2 linked regions of the Lytechinus pictus genome follow. Each later gene encodes a partner of the first gene's protein in a complex. Links are inferred from orthologs where the notes say so. Each region holds a gene or a part of one and is shown in the gene's direction. Other genes may lie near its edges.

Region 1 (10,975 bases):
CAGATATATTATTACCACATTTCATACTTCAACCTGTACACTGATGTTAATTTTTGCATGTGGGAAATAGGAAAAAAAATGTTTTTCCATCTGTATGTAATTCTTGCTGGTGTACTTATACCATCAGTTTGCTATAAATGTTCATAAAATTGAAGTCATATGGAGGAAATTACCATAAACTACCAAATATCTAGATTCTGACCAAGACTGTTAACTTTTCCAGTCTCAGACATCCCTTATATGTGTAATCTTCAGTAGTTGGCTACTGGTGGTCCACATGGAGTTAATAGTTTTGGGGAAAATTACAATCCAATATGGATAGATAGTAATACAGAATGTTTTGAAGTAACCACAATATTGAAAACACCTACTCACCTGAAAGACATTAAGGTAAACATAGGGTTCCATTAACATCTACACAGTAATGACAAGGATATCTAATGCCTTAATGAAAAAACTTTTAACAATCACTGGTTACAAAAGAAGCAAACTACAAGACAAACTATGTGTTTGGAAGGTTGGAATCAATTGTACATACTGTATATCTCAAGTTGTAGAATAGTGTTTTTGTGAATATGTTTGTATGGATGTATAACCTAGATCAGGTAACATAATAGATGGTGTGTTTCATATTTGTTATTGAAATAAAATGTATTAATCAGATATTCTGGGTGCTGTGTTGACAATACAAATTTTCATAGGTTGGATCTGTAATAGTGTTCCATGTATATCTCGTTATCAAACATTCTTTTCTTTGTTGAGGCTTTTTTTTTGTGTGTACAGTAGTGTTTATTCATATATGGTACTGTATCTGTTCTTTCTCAGTCATTTCCAACAGGATTACTGGTGATTTTCATTTAACATTGAAACTCAATGATTTTAATTGCCTCTCTTATTTTTATTGTGTGATTGATAGTATAAGAAGTTAGTTGCAATCTTAATAAATTGTTAATAAACATTTGTTTTGCATTTTTATCATTGACATTAAACTTACTGTTTTCCCGAAATATTATACAGCAATGTAAAAAAAATAGACTGAGTGTACTTGGTTTGGAAAATAGCCTTGTTTTTAACTTGAGAGTTTTAAAAGTAATATATTATCAGATAGATGGTCTACATTCATAAATTGGTAATGAGAAAGAAGCAAAACTATTTATTTCCCAGATGTTTGTTTTGATTTAGTATTGTCTGTATTTCCTTAAATGTGTAGTATTCTGGTCACATTTATAAAATCAATCATGCATCAGCTATCATTTTGTTTTACACCCATATGTATATAAAATGAATGTTTCTATTATATGTGTTGGATGCTTGAGTAATCAACTGTGAGCTACTCTATATAGTATTGAATTCTTTATTATTATTATTATTTGTCATTAGCTATAGCATGTATTGTCAACTACACACACCACCAGTTGGCTTTACATTTATAGTTGGTGCTATATGGCTAATTACAAATAATAAAAAAAGAGTCTAGAACTAGACTAATAGAGAACTTGCACCCATGGCAGTTATATTTTGACTCCCCTTGGTACTTCATGTATGACCAATTCCAGATAAAATGTACTCACAAAGGACCAAATGATTTAATGCTGATGTTTAAGTATATACCATTCATGTATGCAAGTTTGGTCAGGTCATATTTGAAATGTGTGTAAATTGATTTAGGGGGTGAATTTTTACCCACCTCTCATTCTTCACTACCTCTATGAACTTCTCTGCTGCATAATGATATAATAGAAAGTGGAGTCTTTCAAATATGCAGACAAATATCCACAAGTATTATATTAAATATCCATTCAAGCAAAAGAATATATAGTTTCCAACTGTAAGTAAAGCAAGTAAATCAACTGGCCTGTCATCTATATTTCCTTCATACATGAACAAATTGTGTGTAAGTGGTAGTTTTACAATAAAGAAAGGTGAAGAAAAAAGTATGCTGGTCTTGGTGTATCCTATTGATTCATGGCAATTTCATTTTAACTCTGTTTTACGTTGAAAAAATAACACCCCTTTTTCAAAAGTGCATAAAGTTTTTATCAAAATATTTGAAAGGAGTCTTCCTCGTTTAACTTCTATGTGAAATGATAGTGATCTGTCAAGTCATGCATAAGCAAGTCTTGAGCACACATAAGAGCCCAAAATTGTCAATATTCAACATTTTGTTTTCTGCCAAAATAACAGTAAATCAGGGCTTGACATTAGCTGTTGCCTAGGGCAACCAAAAATGAGAGTTGGGCCACCAAAATTCTGTAAAAGTCAATACTTGGTGGCCTGGTTGGGCTACCAAAGTTTTGATAAATTGTAATATTTTCTATTGTTTTTAGGGCCACTTAATTTGCTTTACGAGTCACCAAAAATATGAAATTGATGATTTTGGTTGACTGATCGGGCCACCGAGAAAAGTTAGTGTGGAACCTTGAGTAAATAACAATGTTTTGCTTTATTCACATTGTGTAACCTTGACCTCATTCTTTTGGCTTTTGTACATTCATGAGTCATTTTAATGGATAAATCTCATTTTCACACAACTGATAAAAATTTGTCAATGAGTGAAAAAAATATCCTGTCAAATTAATTTAAGCAAAGCACATTCATTAGAGGAGAATGAAACCCTTGAAACCAGCTGAATCCATATCAAAGAGAAAAATCAAAGAAACATATTGTTGAAAGTTTGAGGAAGATTGAATGAATAATAAGAAAGTTATGAGCATTTGAATATTGAGATCACTAATGCCATGTAGATCCTCCAATTGGCAATGCGACCAAGATCTGTGATGTCACACGTACAACTCCCTCATTACTTTAGTACTTATTTCACTTATATTCTCACTTTTATAGAGTCTATCACAAGGTGAGGTGTTCTTTTTATGAGAGGACAAGTACAGAGGTTTCACAACATTATATCATTGATGAATCGTTTGTCATATGATTAGAATGAGCAAAAAGAGATGTTTTGGGGTATATTTTCAGTGTCCAAAAGGGGAGAGTTGTTCATCTGTGACATCATAGATCTTGGTCGCATTGCCAATAGGAGGATCTCCATAGCATTAGTGATCTCGACATTCAAATGCTCACAACTCTTCTATTGCTAGTCCTATTTTACTCAAACTTTTGTTGATCTTATTCTTTGATTTTTCTGCTTTCACAAAAGCTAACTTGCTCCAAGAGTTTCATTCTCCTTTAAGAAGTAATGTTATTTGCAAAAAGGTGAGTTAACTAAATTTTTGTTATTTTATATTTTTATGACAGGATTTTTAGCAAAATTATTTTCCACTTGTATATAATTTCAATTAGCTACATTATTTATATAAGTCATCTATATTTATGATGAAATAGAGACATGTACCCACGTTCCCTGTCAGTGATAATGGAGAAACTAATCCTGGGGCCCGTCTTACAAAGAGTTGCGATTGATCCGATCAATCGTAAATATGGAAAGCCAGCAAAGTCAACATATAAAATGCACGATTATTCAAAAAAAAATTCTAGATATGAATGCATCCATAAATTCATTGATTTCTTGACAATTTGGTGTGTTCTCCTTTGTTTACAAAGGACAGTTTGCAAATTTCCTGTAAAAAAATTATGACACTGATGGATCTCCATAGAGTTACGATTGATTGGATCAATCGTAACTCTTTGTAAGACGGGGACTTGATCTAGCAATAGAAAAGGTCATACAATACAAGTCTTCAGTAACCTAAAACAGGTACAGTATAGTGATAACAGGCAATTTGATAAACCACATGGTTTAACAGGATAGCATAGGAGGAGACAAAGTGGAACACAAATGAAAGGGAGGGGGAAAGACATGGATGAGAGCCTGGAAGAGGAAGATATGAAAGAGATTACTTAGTGATCAACCGCGTAGCCAGGATTTCATTTTGGAGGGGGTGGTAAATGCACGCGAAGCGTGCCAACGCTTACAGAGCGCGTTCCCTAGGGGGTGGGTGCAGGGAGGGGGAGTTTCCCCCTCCCGCGCGAAGCTTTTGGTGTTTCATAAATTAAAATGAAAAGGAGTTGTCTCTCTTGTCTCTAGTATCTATATCAGCTCGAATTCAGTTGACTATATTGTGATTTTGAACCTGGTTTTCATGAACCTTGTTTTAAAAAAAGATTGTGAACGCACAAAAAAGGAATACAATGGAGGAAATTAAAATGATAATAACCCCGCGCGAAGTGCGGCAGCTAAAGCGTTTTATCAATTTTTTGCCATGAAAAGGGTCCCGAGAAAAGGATATTCTCAAACATATATTGAATACTTCCCTTGGAAAGATCAGATTTGATTACAAACAATTTAGCGACAGTGCATATCTTTAACTCGCAAAACAGAGGAGAAGAAGTGTATATGCATGGAGGAAGAAATTCCTCCCCGCGCAGAGCAACGAAACTCTGAAATTTCAAAGGGCGGATGTTTCATCAAAATAATGCAGATACCTCCAATACCCCATCGGCTCTAATTCAATTAATTTTCTAAGATTATTGAACTTCATTTAAAGGAAAATAGTGCGCAAAAAGTTGAAACTTCTGTGATTTATTGAAATTATATAAAAAGGATGCCTAATTTCTTTGACTTATCCTGAAGCGCTTCATTTTGAATTATAAATAAACTTAAGAGTCATTCGAAATTTCAAACTGAGGGCGAAAAACAGGACAGGAGATGAATGTACAGGGAAATGACATGAAGTTGAATAGAATTTGATAAAAAATATTGTACTTTTTTATTTAATACCCTTATACGATACGAATTTTATACCTTCCTCTTTTTGGATTAGGAACCTGTTTGCCCCAAAAATTATGGTTGTTTAGTAATGAGCTGAAAAGCGGGAGAAGTTGACTTTATGGAGGTGACGGCAGAAATTGATATAAAGATTTTACCCGCCCGGAGCCGACCCGACCAGAAGTTGCGCGATCAATTTAAAAAAAAGATAACTTCATATACTTCGGCCTGACCTTACTCTAATTCCATGCCCTAATGTATACATTTGAACTTTAACTGGCAATAAACACATATAGCTGAGGTAGAAAAACAGGGTTAGAGAAAGGGTGGGGGAAACAATTGGAGATCTTCAATATTTTCATTTAACCGCGCGCAGCGCGGAAGCAAAATTCATAACCATAAATTTAGAGCAAGAGTGAAGGAGTTTCTCTTTTGAGAAAAAAAAAAGAATAAAAAGAAAAAAAAAACACAAAGCTACCTTTTTTCCCTTTCCTCCCTTCCCTTTTCCTTTTCTCCTCTCTTTTTTTCCTTCTTTTTGGGGACGTTTTGGGGGGGGCGACCGCCCCCACCGCCCCCCTGGCTACGCGCCTGTTAGTGATACAAGTACATACATATTTGACCTAAGATACCTACCATTAGACAGGACCTGTTGCATATTTATTGATTAAATACATGAGAGATTCATTACTTCCATTTTAAGCCAGCTTGAAAAATATGATGTATTTTATAAAATACAAATTTGTTGTGTTTACTTCAATTAAATTAGGTACATGATCATGATAGAATAGGTAAAGGAGATAGATAAAGAGAAATAAGTGATTTGAGATTGGATAGGATATGGAAGCTTAGCATGGGGTGACTCCTTCCTCCTGGAAAGTGATAAATTTCTGAAAACATTCCCCATTTTTTCTGTTATTTCAGGGTAAAGTATCAGGGTCCTCCTGTCTCACAAAGAGTTGCTATATTGATCTGATCAATGCAACTATGGAAGGCCAGCAACAACGTCAACATCTAAAATGCATCTTTGTTCAAAATATTTCCTACATGTTGTATATTCATACATTCATTGCTTTCTTGAAAAAGTTCTGCATGCTTCTTTTTGTTTACAAAGGCTTTATTGTGCAAATTTCTTGTAGAAAAAATATGACATTGATGGATTTCCATACAGTTAAGGTTGATCAGATAAATTGCACCTCTTTAGTTTAGACGGGGCCCAGGTCTGAATATTATAAATAATAAACTTAAAAGTGCTGTTTATCAATAGGCTTTAATTCCATTGGCTGTTTCAGCATGGATTGCTGCATATAGGACCCGGATATAGGATATTTGAAGAGAGCATAGAGATACAAAAATTAATTATGGTACAATATGGCAATCACAGTAATTCCACTATATCAAAAAAGTTGTTATGGAAGGAGATTTGTTATAAGTGCCCTTTTCAAGGAAATGTTTGTTTATGTCCCGGGTTTATGTCACCAATCAAGAGAACTTTTATATTCCAGGGATATATAGGCCCAGGGTGAATGGCATTCTATGGTAGTTGGGCCATTGTATACGGTATGCATAGTAATTCCTTTTTTGTTTTACAATTTTGTATTACAATTCAGAAAAGAGGATTATTTTTGGTGGCGTAATGCATGTAGGGCCTAAGTAAAGTTGATAATTGGTCCCTCCCCCGTCAACCTTTCAGATGCCACTATATACCACCAGGAGCTGGACAGAAGATCCTGCCAGATTGAACCTTATAATTATGTAAAAAAACAAAAGGCTGGGCCGAAAAGGGAGCTCCAAAAAAGCCCCCCCGCCCCCTCCTCCTCCCAATGCTGCGAAGAATTGTAGTGCCATAGAAAGTGTAATCTGTTTTCCGTTTTGACTATGGGATGGCTTTTTAAAATTTTCCAAAAATGCTTTGTTATATATATGTTTTAATCCCTTTCTCAACGCTGGAGACGAGGCCTTGTACTTGTCAGACGTGAGGTGGCGCAAGACCACTAAAATCGACGACTTCAACGGTGTACGAGACGTCGACCCTGTACGTACGTAAATTGTACGTGCGCGCGCCCATACCGGTATGCCATATGACGAGTCTGGCGGCGAGGCCGAAATACAAGTCGGAAAACGGAACATCATGTCGAGTTTTCAGCGTCATGGAGATTTCACAGTGACAAAATCTACTAAAGGAGGTGGTAGAAATTACTACGGTAAATATAAAAAGATGTTCTTTCTGTTTTGCATGATAAGTGTAAGAAAATATTTGCCGGTTTTCTCAATCATACTGCGTGTGAATGTTGAAAAGTTTGTAGTTTTTGTACCGTACGGTTCCGGTACCCAGTTGTTGTTTGTCCGGACAGGTTGTGTGTCCGGACGATCAATTTTAGAAAGTCATTTGGAAAAAAATACAAGCGAAGTTTCATCAATTTTTAGTACAAAACGTTAGGAAATATTATAAAGAACAAAACAGAAGATGATTACAAGTATTGAATTTATATTTTTAGTGTAATACAAAGACAAAAAAGAAGGCGTCAAAAAGATAAAGTGTCCGGACACCCGACCCCCCCATCCTACCGCTTTTGAATGTGAGAGACCATTGGCATTGCCATTGATTATGAAAGGGGGGGGGGGGGGGGTGGCCTCTGCTCGCCTAACTATTTTTTAAAGTTAAAATTTAACATGAATTCATGAATTTCTTTTTATTTCACAAACATTTTCTGTTGATAAAGTTCCTTATATTCTTCTGAGTAAGTGTGCCGAAAATCTCAGATACGATTACCGGTGTCAGTGTGTGCTGTATCAGTGTATGTGTAATCACAATTCCACAATATTTTCAATTAGTACCGTAAGGGCACTAGTTAGTAGTATTCAACCCGGCATAATTCAAAGATTTTGACAAATTCCCCCAAATATTTAGCACTTTTGCACTGAATTGCACTAGTATTCAACCTAGTGATGATAAGCGAATTTCAAAATGGTTTAAATTGCTAAACTAGATAGATCTATGCAAGTCTCTGGCTTTGACTAATTCCGTTTCTTGGTCTCATCTCAAATGGTCTAGTCCATAGGCAGATGGGACAAGGGCAGATTGAGAGACAGGGCCATCTTATAATCGCTAGGTTGAATACTAGTGCTGACGGATTGAATACTAGTGCCAAAAACCATCGCCGTATAATTCGATCGCCCGCGCACACAGTCGACGGGTTGAAGAAAAAAATAACGCAAAAAGAATAACCAGCATTTGCTCTTGGAAGTAAGACAGGTCTGAAATTAAGGTAAATTCCAAATTTCTATATCAAGGCTCCACATTAACTTTTTTTGGTGGTGGCCCGTTTGGGCCACCAAAACCATCAAATAATTTTTTTTGGTGGCCCGATATTAAAGTTTGGTGGCCCGAAAAATATAAAGAAAAACATTAAAAATGAATAAAACAAACTTCTGAAATATTAATTCTGCAGCCAATACCACTATGTTACTTTTACTTTATACATCTTGTATGTAAACCTTGTTTGCTGTTATTTTACTTTGCTAATTGATAAATGTTTCTATCGTTGTAAAAATGAAATGATTGAAAGAGAATAAATGAATTGTATTGTTCGCAGGTTGTGTGGACTTTTTTAAAAATCTCTGTATAGAGATAATGGTAAAGTAAATAAATAGTGCATAGCAAATTCAGATAGATGTACAAAACAATGGTTTTTCCTTCCTTCCTCTTTGAATCCTAAAACCTAGATTATGCATGCCCCAAATCCAGTTTATTTCTGTTTTCTCTTTTGCAGCATATTATAGAAGGAGAAAATCACAGAAAAATATGCTGCAAAATTAAAACAATGAATAAAAGGGGGAAACAAACGAAAATAATTTTCAAAAAGTATATTACAAAAAGAAAACAAAAATAAAAGAAATTAGTGAAATAAAATAAAAAGAAAGAAAATCATAGAAAGAAAAAAACAAAGAACAGGGAAAAAAAGAAAAGAAAAAAATTAGAGAGAAAAAAGAAAAGAAAATGAAAGAAAAATTAATAAAACAAAGTTAATAAAAAAATGGGGAAAAGGAGAAAATTAAGAAGCCATTACATATATTTTTAACAGCTGTGGCAACAGTCTATTCTGACTGGAATATAATTAAAAGCCAAGCAAATAATTTTCACTTTTTGGGAATGGCACATTTTTATTTGTATATCCTTTAGTTTGTATTATTTTATTTTCAGTAGAAACATATTTTTTAATCAGGCATATTCACTGGGAAGGGGTATAAATGGTTTAACCACTGTCAAAAAAAATCAAAGGAAAAAAAATAAGAAAACGGCAAAAATTATATCTGGAAAAAAGTGTGAGAAAAGTCCTTCCCTATGTTTGCCAAAATGTTGGAAAAAAAATCACATTTCATATCAATGAAATGCCTTCCCAAAGTATTTACTTTCTCAAGAGTGGTTTAAGAAGTCATTTATAAACAAGAAAGAAAGAAACTGTCTGTTTGTTTTTGGCTAGAAAATACACAGCTTCGAAAGAAACCAAGTATCAACATACATACAAATGCACACGTGGGACTGTGATGTACTTGCCTATGTGTTTTTATGTGTATTAATTCATGTGGAAATCGGTCTTTTTTAGTCAAAAGAGAGGTCATAATTCCTCTTCTTAATACTTGCAAATAATCAGGGTACACCAGATTTTCGTAATATAGACTGTAGAATTGCATTTCATTGGTGTAAAATGTGACTTTGACTTAGATTTTCAAAGTTCTGTGGAAGATTTCTCAGCAGCAACATTTTTTATCGCAGCTCCCCGAGTCTGAATAGGCTGAGCTAGATCTAGAGCACAGCTGTATGCAGTGGCTTCATGCAAAGCTCATGCCAGCCGGCCGGCGCGTCTGGCTGGATAATAGCTACTCTATGCTGTAGCTGTAGGCCTAATATGCAAACTTTGTGTGTGTGTATTTGTGTGTAGATCAACAAAAAGGGCGCATGACGAACTGGCTTGCAACTTGAGCTGTAGAAAGTTGATAAATGCGTGCAAAATTGGGAGAAAAATTGCGCTACTTTGAAAATTATTGGTTGCCCGATTCGGGCCACCAAAACTTAACATTTTATCAATAATGGTTGCCCGAGGTGAATTTTTGGTGGCCCTGGGCCACCGGGCCACCGCTAATGTCGAGCCTTGTCTATATATTTGAGGAAACTCTCCAAACGGGTTGAATACTAGTGCTCTTACGGTATGTAAAATGGAGGGCTTCTTCTGCTTCTTCCTGTTACTGCGGACAAACTCCTCAATTGGGATATGATTGCTGCAGGCATGTGTGGCTAGTGATGAATTTGATTTTGAATTCATGATGATGTGCCCCCCCCCCCCCCCCCCCCGGATGAAAGTAGACATTTGAATTTTGCTTAAACTTTTCTTAAAACTATCAACCGAAACTATTAACCGGCTAGGGAATGTGTAGCCAGGAGGCTTCTTGAGAGTAAAAATCATTTACTAACGTATGCTTACTCTCAATGAAGCCAGGGATTCCTTCCTATTCATCTGCATGTACCGCCAAAAAACCTGAAACTTTCGCCCCTGAGATTTCTACTTTCCTTCTAAAACATCTAGCCATAAATCATGTATGGTAGGGGGTCCTAAAGCTACGCACCACTCCAATGCGCATGCAATTTCAATTGCAAAATGCGCACTCTGCAGTGTGACGGACGATTCCTTTCACTTTTTTTCTACAGAGGCTGCAATAAATCGCTAAATACAGAGAAAACCAGCAACTGTTTGGAATTTTTGAGTTATATTCACTTTGATTTCATATTTTTCTATAAGAATATGAACATTATTTAGAAGTTTAGGTACAGGAAATTATTTTTCTTTGCATGATAAATTGAGTGCGTAGCTTAAGGACCCCTTCTATGTCGGGCGGCGAAATCAAGAGGTGTTCGGAAAACACAGCGGGATTTTCGTATTAGTGAGTTTTGTGATATTTTCTTTTTGGTTATGAATCTTTACAATATTTAACACAAATTTGTGAAAGATGATTTGTTAGAATATTAAAATTGGCATAGTTTTTATCGTTTGTAAACAAAGTGCGTAGCTTACATGGGATAAAACTTCATTTCCGACATTTCTACGCTCTCGGTTTTATTTTTAAACAAGAATTCAACGTTGGGGAAGTACAATAGGAAACAAGATGGCGGCGTAAACATCGGGCAAGTCTCTTCCGTCTTTTCACAATATTTTTCTCATTTTTAAAATGAATTCTTGTTTAAAAATAAAACCGAGA
Region 2 (11,145 bases), on another chromosome or scaffold:
TAGAATCTTTAGAGGGTAACATCATGGGAAATGACCTTCCTTATTACATGTTATAGCAATACTGATCATCTTGCTCTGTATGAGTTCTTGATGAAATTCCTTACATTGTGGAACAGATTTTAAAACCGTACCCCATATATCAGGGAATAATTTCAATTCTTAAATCTTATTAGCATTTGTGGTTGTTAGAGAAAAGCTTTCTGTACAAAAAAATGCTACACAAGTGAAATTTTGTGTAGCTGTCATAAAATTATGTGGAGCAAATTGTGATGCAATACCAGGAAATTATTTGCTGTGCTCAATATTAGATAGCTTGAACTGCAAACTCTGTCAATATCTGATGACCACTTGATATAATCATCCCATTACCCCTACTTGTGGTAAAAGTAACATTTAATTAACTGTAGTAAATCTGAAAATTGATACACAACCATTGAAACTCATGTAACAAATTGTAAAAAATTAACATGTCTTTTTCTGGAGACTTGCAGTCACTGTTTCAATTATATTTATATCATAATTACAATGTAGAGAGTGTATGAAGATGTGTGATACGGCTTAGAGTGAGACGAATCATAAGTTTTCTTTACCTCAAACTTTGCCTTAAAGTTGATTTTTTTTCTGGTACATCACCTTTACTGACTGTATATCTTGACATATTTTGAAGATATATATATATTTTTTTTCAATTAACCCTGCAGAGATTAACTTTTGGGGTGTACATGTAATTTCTATAGGGGATTTTAGTATCAACGTATCAAATGACATCATTTGTTAGAAATGCAAAGAATATGGGTTATGGTTAGAGCAATTTGAATATATTTAACTCTCGGCCATTATTCTCACAACGTTTTCATTTTTAAGAATACTATCTGTATTAAGGTGCTATGATAAGATTTAAAATGTAACTGTAAGACTATCAGTTTCTGTTAGGTTGACTGAGTTTTTTCCCCCTTGCACAACAACTTATCTATTTAGTGATCTGTTCGTGTACCATATTTGAACATTATAAGCAGTCCATGTTTTTTTATTTATATTTCTTCCTATTCTTGTTGCAATACTGTTAATCCTAAAAAGTCTGACTCTTAGTCTATTAGGGCCTATTTAGACCCATTTCACAGCCAGAGCCCCCCCCCCCCCCCGAGTCTTCTTCCCCTCTTTAAGATCTTGGCCCAATGCACCCATGTCATCCATGTCTGAACTTACATGTACGCATGAAAGTGAAAACAAAGGTGCGCTCAGATTAATTGTAAAGTGCAGTGGCTAATTTTGTGTAGAGACTCTGTGTGAGACTGGAAAGTACAAATAGTTATGAAACAATGTGGTGATTGCTTTTCACGTTGCAAGATTATTGCACAAAAATATTGAGGGGAGTATGGAATCCCCCCCCCCTTGGGCCTTATAGGGTTAAAATCTATATACATGTACATGTAGTACATGCTCCATAACTCTACTGGAAATTGTCAATTGATTGTGGAGCACGGATTTCAAGGGATAATTAACCCATAAAGAATGTAGTGGCAATAACTTATTGATTTGATTTGATTAGATTTGGGCATTAGATATGTTAGAAAAGGGAACAAGACAAACCAGTTTCTTGCCAAAAGAACTGTATGTATCAGTTCTACCTCACACAAGGTTTTACTTGTTTTCCCCTTGTACAGTTTGCCAGATTAAAAAAAATGTTCTTTATGCAACGTAAATTTGATTTGACTCCAAGATAGTGTAACAGTCTGGTTTATTATGCTTGTGTGAAGGGGACCATTTTACATGAATCATCATTATGGCTTTATGGATTTGACACTGAAATTTTTATGTACATACTTCGGGGGTAAATTCACAGTAATGTAGAAAAATTCCTAGGACCTTTGTCGATAAAAGGTAAACAACAAAAATTGATATATATTTTTGAATTTTGTGTGAAGATTTTCAATGTTCCGTTAATTTGATAAACCAAACTCATTTCATTGAACTCATTTGTAAATATTCCATGATCATTTTTTTTAAAGATGCTATTTTTATGCACGACATTACTCTTGTAAATTTGTGTAAATTTTGTTTATTTTATATTTTGCTACATATTTTTCTTTCATCAATACTTGGGAGTTGGGAATTAGTGGGTTAGATATATATTTCTGATTACTTTCACTGGAGTTGATACTCATCCCATTTACTTGGTAACAGACAAAAACAAAAGGTGCAAAGGGTTTTTTGACCCACATAATTTAGAAATAAAAGATCGCACTCATAGGGTGATGAAGATTGCCATTGGTCTCACTTCAGAATGTTTTGTTTATTTGATGGATAGAAATAGAGATAGTCAAAACACAGAATTTGTTTTGATGTACGTGTAATTTGGAAGATTTTTTTTTCATTTGCAGGAAGGATTAGTAGTAAATTACAAAGGTACATTCCATTCTGCTTTATAAATCACATTTTTAGTCGATACAAGCCTCAAATAACCATGGAAACGCACCAGCAATACAGACTTGGAAGCAGACAAAGTATCCCTCGATAATGTAATGAACATTACAAGAATATAGCAGAATATTTTCTCGTCAAATAATGCATGTACTCCATTGTTATTGTCATGTTTGCTTTTATATTTTTACCCTAACCCTAAGATAAATCATTCACTGCCATTGAGTTTGTGTATGAATACCGTATATGTGTAGCTGTTTATGCACTTGTAGTATGCGAAGGATGGAAAATATTATTTGAATCGATTCTGTAGGATAATACAGAACAGAAAATCAGGTTTCATTTGAAAGATTTTCCAGTTGAATTCTTTTATGTATGATAATAATTATAAATCCTATTTTATCCGTAAACAAATCATAATGTAAGTCCGCGGATCATCCCAGATATGCCAACTGTATGCCTTAAATTTCAATAATTTTAGGTCAAGGGCACATGTTACAACACAAATGGAAACAGACGTTGGCAGATTAAAAACATTCAAGAAATCCTTTGATAAAAAGAATATGTACGTGCTGAACAAATAAAATTCAGATTTTTCCCCTTTCATTCATTGTAAAGTTGTAATAACATGCACTATCCAATATCCCTTGTACATTGGAATAGAATATACACATATTGAACAGTTTTTAGTCCGGTGTTGGTGTTAGTGTTGGAAGCACAATTTGGATTATGTTGCCTTCATTAGCTCCCAAACCTATTCTGAGTTTAATTACAAAAATGATACAGATCACAATATTACTTGCGCAACACCTAGTGACTAGTGAGTGACTTTTCAGGACCAATATAATTTTACATTTGGTGCTATGCTCATGTGAAAATGGACCGAACATTAACACCAAAAGGTCAACACTTAACTTGAAATCACCCATTATGCCTTTAGATTCTGCTAGTTTGAAAAGATGACGGTTCCAAAAGTTCCAACCACTGAGATCCCTACATTCAATTGACTCTACTGTTTTGTGGTAGAGGACAAGAATATGGCTTTATGGTCCATATTCTGGACTTTGGTTGAATTCAAACCCTGATCAGGGCTCTGTAACACAAAGGTTTGGGATGGATTGCAAACATGAAAGAACCGACCTGATTGGTCCCTGGTCAGTATTTTAAACCAAATGCGCGTGTAGCATTGATATTGATTGGTCAGTTCATTTAGCGATTGATCGCTATTTGTGTTACGGAGCCCTGGTCCGTCTAGATCAATGTCTAACCAGGGATTTGGGAGGTCCCAATTCTGGTTTAACCATGGATAGCCACTAATATCCTCTATAGATTGTATGGAAATAATAAGTTTAATACTTTTCTTTGAGTTTGCCTTAGAAAGGACCCCATAAACCTAAAAATCAAATGCAAATTTTTGGCTTTAGCACAACTTCTGGCTTGTAATTAAGTTATCCGGCCAAGAGTTCAGAATTATGGACCAAGGAATTCTTTTTCTTTTTTTCACTGAATCTCTGCCTTTTGACATTCCTTTCTATATTTGTTCATTATGTACATGTATGTAAATGAAGGGTAGGCAGTGAGTTTTCTAAAAGAAACCCAAATGTACAATGTTGAAATGAGATGTTTTATTATTAAATGATTATATGAAAAAACTCTCGAAGTTGTATTCGTATTGTGTGAAATGTGAACACTTAATTAAGTCAATGAATCAACATTTGATGGTTTTTGTTGGATTCTGTTTTTTTTGTGTGTGTGTGTGTGATAGTAAATAATGCATTGTCAACTAATGAATTTCAGTGCAGGTGCTTTTGACTTCCACTAGGGAAATTGCTGCATATGAGACGGCGAACAAAATTACAATTTTGTCTTCTAAGACATGAAGATCATAATTTTTTTCATTGGGTGCACTTTGTACACATGATTTCTTTTTTTTTGTGTGTGTGTAATTGGCTGCCTGTTGGGGACTGATGTCCTTGTTTGCAATATCTCTCCTGAGTCTCGTGTCTTCAGTCTTCATTTGTTGGCAAAGGCGGAAATCTGTCTCCAAAAAGGTAGGGGGGACCAGGGGCTGGAAAATTTTACAAGCAAAAAAAAAAAAAGGTTATCGCCCCAAATGTAATCGACCAAAATAAATTTGTTTGACAAGCAAAAAAAAAAAAAGGTTATCACCCAATAAGTAAGGTCATCTCGTCCAAATACATGTTTTATTTCAATTTCTTTCTTTCCATCATAAAAGACCAAAAATAGTAGGGGGGACATTTGATATTGTCCCCCCTACTATTTTGGGTAGGGGGGACACGTCCCCCCTGGGATTTCCGCCCATGTTTTTTGGTGAATGTTTGTGAAGATGAATGCGGGAAGTTTAATTGACTTCAAATTTCAGACACTGATGCAAAACACAAAATATTGAGAGTAAAATTAGTATCCCACAAACTGGTTCCACAAGGACCTCTATCTTGTCAAAGCTAAATATTTTCTGAAATGTGCCATTTTTGACAATTTTCTTTAAATTGTGGACTTTGTTTTGAAGAGTGTGAGGGCAGAGTATTGTTGCATCATTGATCATTGATGCAAAGTATATAATATTGAAAGTATATGGAGTTATGTTCAAAGTTCAGAGTAAGATCAAGGTGGCACCAGATCTGTTTATTATAATATTTTAAAATCAGCTAAACATATGAAATGTTGTACGAACTCGTTTCATTTAAAGTTTAACAATTTATTCCACCATGGAAGAATGTGCCTAGTTGACCTGAACACCACGGAAACTTTTGAAATTTATTTAAGGAAAAAGTAATGTGGTTAGGAATGATGCGGAATTCTAAAAAGAAGATCAATGGAAAAAAACTGAATATGCAAATCCCATGGTATAATCATGCATTTTTTTCTTTTAACTTTTTCATTTATCAATTTAGTAGCACTCGCAAAAAGATGGGGAGCATGCCTCCTCCCCGTAAAAAAAGTTTTACGACCAAGAAAATAAGGAGAAAAGGAATGGGAACAAGTAAAATAATATATTATTTTCTGAGTATTTTAAAATCTATCCAAAAAATATTTTTTTGTAAAGCAAAGATCAAAATTTTGCTAGCATGTTTCCTTCTTTAAGGTTACACTTGCTCCTTCTAGCTTCTGTCATGCCTGTTCCTCTCACAATTTACGGCTCATTAAACCACTCTTCTTGTAAGTAGCTTAATAATGGCAGAGGGTCTCTTATTAAAACGTTTCACATTTTGATTTTTTTATTCATTTGCGGTCGGACGTTTCGCCGACACTATACCGGGGGACGGAACTGTTATTTATCGCCGAATATCCTGGGGAGTCTTCGGAACAGAATTTGGCTTTGATTTCATTTTATGACATCATAATAATGGCTTTATCTTCCACATCAGTAAGTACAGCTAGTGATCTAAAAAAAAAAACTATAATTTGTTGCATGAATTCGACGATTGAAGTTCAATAAGTATGAGGTTTTCACCCAGAAGTATTTAGATGGCAATCATATATTGTCCCATGTATTGAAATTTATGCTGGAAACGGCGCACCCGCACCTAGACCAACTCGGCAAAAGCTTCAGTCTCTGTAATCTGTATTTTGGTTGTTCCGCTGAACTGCGTTGGCTCCATCCACCCTAACCCGCGGGCGGGAGCCCAGGGGCTTACTGTGTATTAGACCAAAAAAAGCTTCGGTCTCTGTTATGTTGGTTGTTCAGCTGAACTCCGTTGGCTTCACTCACCAAATACAGAGACCGAAGTAACTTCTACTTCTAAGTTCTAGCGCGATCTGTACAGGGGACTCAATGGCCATATGTTATGTACTTAAGATCGGATAAAACGGGGAAGTGAATTTGCGCGACAGCCGAGGTAAATCACTGTTTTTGTTCCTTTTAACTTGATTTTTCTCCGTTTTTGGGCAATTAATGCCAAGACAAGAGGGAATATCAATTTGCATTTTGGTCGCGTTAATTTTCAAAATTTTTATTCATTAAATAAAGACAAAAATTGAAGAGCCCCGACGGGGGGATTTCGCATTGCAAGTCCCCTAATGGTGGCTGCACGCTAGCGAGCCGTCTGTGTACGAGGAGAATAAAAAAAACAAAAAATTTAAAAAAACTCCTCGAAACAGACGGCTGCCAGCTGTCTAACTGTGTATTTGACCATACTCACGGGACTAGGGTGATTTATGGTCTAAATATTTCTCCAAATGAATTGTGAAAACAGAAAGTATACAATTACCACGATTATATGGATGAAGGTCTAACGAGTGGCAGTTTCCTGACATCTGGGCACAGACTGGAACCTCAAAAAACGAAAAGTTCTCTCCTTTTACCCCAGTCTCGATCGGCCATTTTGTTACGATTTTTAACAAAAATGGCCGATTGAGACGGGGGTAGAAGGAGCTAGGAGAGAACTTTTCGTTTTTTTGAGGTTCCAGTCACTCTAGGCGACACCCCAATACTTACCCGTGTTAATAAACTGGGACTCCACTCACGCGCATTTGGGCCGCCCTAGCTTACAACTAAGCTTTGTTTTACGAAAAAATAAATATTCTTATGATTCAATACATGTTACTAAATAAATTTGTACTGTTAAATCGGTACTCACCGGTTCTTTTCTTGAATTTGCTGGCAATTTCCCACGCTTCTGGCTACAATTCTGCGACTAGCCCTGTCGCGGTAGACAGCTACATATGCAACTTTATTTATAAATGGAGCGCCCCTTACGAGAGTTGTTAATGCCGCGGAGAAATCGTTAGGCATTTTTGCCTGTGTTCAAGGCGTAGCTGTTCTATTTTTTTTTATAGGTATGAGATCGAAATCACAGCGAACTCGTATTTACACTCTTCCATGATGATTCCGAAAGAGAGGCGCATCACCCCCACCCACATGGGCGCAAATCCCAGGGGGACATGTCCCCCTCACCCAAAATAGTCAGGGGCACATTATGAAATGCCCCTCTACTATTTTTGGTCTTTTAATTCAAAAATCGAAATAAAACATGTATTTTGGAAGAGACGATCTTACTTTTGGGATGCCCTTTTTTTTTAGGGGGGGGGGCTTGTTTGCTTGTCAAATTTCTTTTGGTCAAGATGACCTTCTTTTAATTGGGGTGATAAACCTTTTTTTTTTTTTTTTTTGCTTGTCAAATTTTCCAGCCCCTAGTCCCCCTACCTTTGGGGAGAGATTTCCGCCCTTGCCTAACACTACTCTTGATATTGTTTGCGAATCTGCACGGGCGTCGGGGGCTGGGGGATGAGGGATGAGGAAAATCGGTGAGACGAGAAAAAAATAGAAGGGAAAAGAGGACAGAAATAAAGTGAACGAAAGATAAATTAATGGAAAAGAAAAGGGAGGAGAAAATAGTGAGAAAAGAGATTTTATGTGCCCATGCAAAAAGAAATGAGCAGAGGTTGAGATGTTGTCCGTTTGGGCAAATGTTTGTCTGTTTGTTGGACTGGCGCCTGTTGCAAAAATTATTAAGCTGATTGAATCGGGAAATGTTCCAACTGCTTCATGAGGATTTAGCGGTTGTAGGTATAAATCTGTATAAATCGCGCTCTAACGCTCTAAAACTGTGTTCCGGGCTGTGTTCTTAAAAGTTGTCCTTCATATTCATTTTCGCAAAAGAATATCAAGTTTTCAATCAATTGTCTATAGTTATCCTGTTTATGATAAAAAATACTTAGAAATTGGGTTAGGTTAGGGTTAAAAATTATCAGGGCACAAAATATATTTTTTCAGCTCGAGCGTCGAGCTGGCATTATTTGATCTGTGAGATTATGTTTTTAATGACATTCATTCTATTCACAGCAATATATTATTAAACATTGCCGCACGCGCTGTGTGCCGCATGAATTATAGATAGGTCTATACTTATCAGGTGAATGCTTTACCGCTTCACACTGATCATGCTGATACTGTTTTGTAAATTATAAAAAAGGGGAATTTCACCTTGATAAAAAGATTGTGATAATAAGAAAAATAATTTCAAAATATCGGTGAAGGTGTTATTATTTTTTTTAAATTGGAGTTAATAGAATTTCGAATGCTTGATTTGTGACGCCATAAACAAGCAGTTGCTCTATATTCTATGTAATATAAAATGCCAAAATTTCCCATTTTTAATGGTCCGTAATGACCCACTTTTTTCTTTTTGGAACGAGTAGGGGTATGAAGTTATCTATTGAAATACTGAATGTACAATAAAAGTCATTATCATGTATTTCTTGACATTTCATTTACTTTTTTTTACCATAATTATATCCTAAAGCTGCTCGCATAGGCCTACGCCATCACAAATAATTTTTTTTTTAATCTCACCTTTAATTTTTTTTTTGGGTGGGGGATGGATTTTCCTCGAACGCATACCAATTTTTCAAATAATTTTTTTCTGCTATTTTCATAATAAACTTTAAATGAATTCACCTTTGCACTACTTAATTTTTTCAAAGACAAAATTACATCTAGTCATCATCATCATCACCAACTTCATTCTCATCTTCATCACCACTACCACCATCATCATCATCACCGCCACCATCACCACCACCATCATCTTCACCAAGATAATTTTCATCATCATAACCATTGCCATCATCGTCTTTCTTTTTTTCTTATTTTTTCCCCTTCCAGTTCTTTTTTTCCCTTCATATTTTCCTCCTTTTTCAGAGGGGCACACCACCAATGTGTTTGATGTTGTATATAAGTTGGCGGATGCCTCATGAATTGAAATAACAGAGAAAATAAGGAAATGGAAAAAAGTAAGAAGAAAAAGAAGGATGAGGAGAAGAAAAAAAGAAAGCCAAACAAACAAGAAAAACCAATATCAAAATTTCGTAATAAAGTCTTCTACGTCAGTTTAATAATTATGTTTTCAATGAAATGAGAACATAAAAGAATTGAAACAAGTAAAAAGGGCTACATCATAGTTAAAAGAAATAGAGGGAAGCTCCGAGACAATAAAAAAGGGTAAAAAAATAAGAAAAGACTTTGAAACACTCACAACACGAGCATAATAAAAAAATTGGGAATAAGCGAGGACAAGTAGCTGAGGGACCCCCCCCCCTTATCTATCAAACTCGCATTTACAAGAACTTCTTACTAATCAAAATATTGCGAGCAAAAAGCACGAGCTGGCATTTTTTTAAATATTCAAAACTGATAGAGAGACACCTTTTAAACAATTCATGAAACATAATAATCATTCATTAGCTTAATCGAATCATTCGATTGCGAAAGGATCTGAGAATTTAGTGTTTTTAGGAATTCATTAGAAGCATAAATTTGTATCTCAACATTAAAATAAGATGGGCGCAATGCATGAGCTAAAGCTTTATATACCAATACAAAATTTGGACATTTAAAATATTTTCGTATTTATGAAAAAGATTGATATTTCATGAAAGCTCGAATCCCGAGGAGGAATATTTTTTATTAATTGACTTTTAAAAAGGCTGTTCTAAGCCCCATTTAATATTTGATTATAAGTCGAATAAAACAGTAAAAGCTGAAAAAATAAATTATATTTTATTCCATCATTATTCTCTTTCTCTTTAACCCTGGTTCCTTTTTTTCTGGGGGGGGGGGAGTATTTTGGTTTTAAAAAAGAGAGAAAAAAAGGTAATTGCTGGCTTGTGGACGGTAGTGGTAGGGACACCCCTCCCCCCCCCCCCCCCGTAGTTACGCGTTACGCCATTATTGGACCAAATGATCCTACATGTCCGAGGCGAAACTTGTGCAATCAATTAAACGTTATTTAAAAAAAAAATTAAAGCTTGCGCTGTTTAACTTCAATCTCTTTCACCTAAATTTACGATGAATGCTAGCGTTATGAAATATATAACTATCAACGTCTGGCGAAAAGAATAACCAACCGATCACCTGAGGAGAACGCGTACCACGTGATCTGCATATCAGCTCCGATCGCGAGTCAGAAGTGAAGAGCAACTGCCAAGAAAATCAAGAAAAAGTCGTCAAAATGTAAGTTTCCCTTAATTTCTTTCATTTTTTGTTGTTGCTAACAATGCATTTACACACTAAAATTTAAATTTAAATAAAAGAAACAAATTATAGCTTCTACTTGTGATATAATATAGAAATATCCTGTTCTCAAAGATTTCTAACCCAAAATACTACTGATATGCCTATGAGGTCCATACATGTAATGTTTGGACCTCATTGGTACTAGGAGTGGTTCCAGTCTGTGCCCAGATGTCAGGAAACTGCCACTCGTTAGACCTTCATCCATATAATCGTGGTAATTGTATACTTTCTGTTTTCACAATTCATTTGGAGAAATATTTAGACCATAAATCACCCTAGTCCCGTGAGTATGGTCAAATACACGGTAAACCCCTGGGCTCCCTGGGTTACATTCACCCATACATAGACTGAAGAGTTGTTGGCCCGTATGTATAGCAAACGTATTAGCAGTAACGTTAGATCTAGTATAACATTCGGCGGAAACCCGATTTGTACATAAATTTAAAAAAAATGTCACATTATAAAAAAGAAAGTACATTCAAACTTACGAAAAAATATATAAGAAAGTCATAAAGGGGCCTAAGCTTTCGATCCTAGCAGAATCTTCGTCGGAGGCAAAATGACCACAAAAATATATAAAATTCAGAAATATCGTACCTCAGACCGCAGTTACCGCTAATTCCTTTCAAATGATGATCGAAACATAGTCATCTTCGATCCTTTCGTTGGTCAACGTAAGTTGCCAT

What was found.
Region 2: the proteins of nuclear RNA export factor 1-like (region 1) and NTF2-related export protein 2-like are in contact, whole or in part, in a crystal structure (PDB 6IHJ), measured with the Drosophila melanogaster proteins. The link is inferred for Lytechinus pictus from reciprocal best matches to the Drosophila melanogaster genes sbr and Nxt1. Residues at the interface, in NP_524660.1 of Drosophila melanogaster: Leu359, Leu360, Glu361, Thr362, Lys363, Ala364, Ser365, Tyr366, Met404, Leu405, Ser406, Ile407, Ser408, Met409, Pro410, Gln414, Arg426, Asn427, Leu428, Arg429, Arg438, Thr439, Leu442, Tyr444, Thr467, Val468, Asp469, Thr471, Ile472, Met477; in NP_611833.1 of Drosophila melanogaster: Met1, Leu5, Val9, Glu10, Ala13, Asp17, Arg21, Thr43, Ser45, Trp46, Asn47, Gly48, Asn49, Gly50, Ile52, Tyr60, Leu64, Leu71, Asn72, Thr73, Leu74, Asp75, Ala76, Gln77, Pro78, Ile79, Val80, Asp81, Leu91, Met93.

Annotation. Positions count from the first base shown.
Region 1 is NC_087251.1:3,280,434-3,291,408, reverse strand, and holds the start of nuclear RNA export factor 1-like, read left to right. Parts: upstream 1-6,779; 5' UTR 6,780-6,794; coding exon 6,795-6,924; intron 6,925-10,975. UniProt on the Drosophila melanogaster protein: Mediates the export of the majority of mRNAs from the nucleus to the cytoplasm. In ovarian follicle cells, plays a role in transposable element silencing regulation by enabling the nuclear export of flamenco (flam) transcripts and subsequent piRNA biogenesis.
Region 2 is NC_087249.1:38,558,295-38,569,439, forward strand, and holds the start of NTF2-related export protein 2-like, read left to right. Parts: upstream 1-5,668; 5' UTR 5,669-5,788; coding exon 5,789-5,809; intron 5,810-11,145.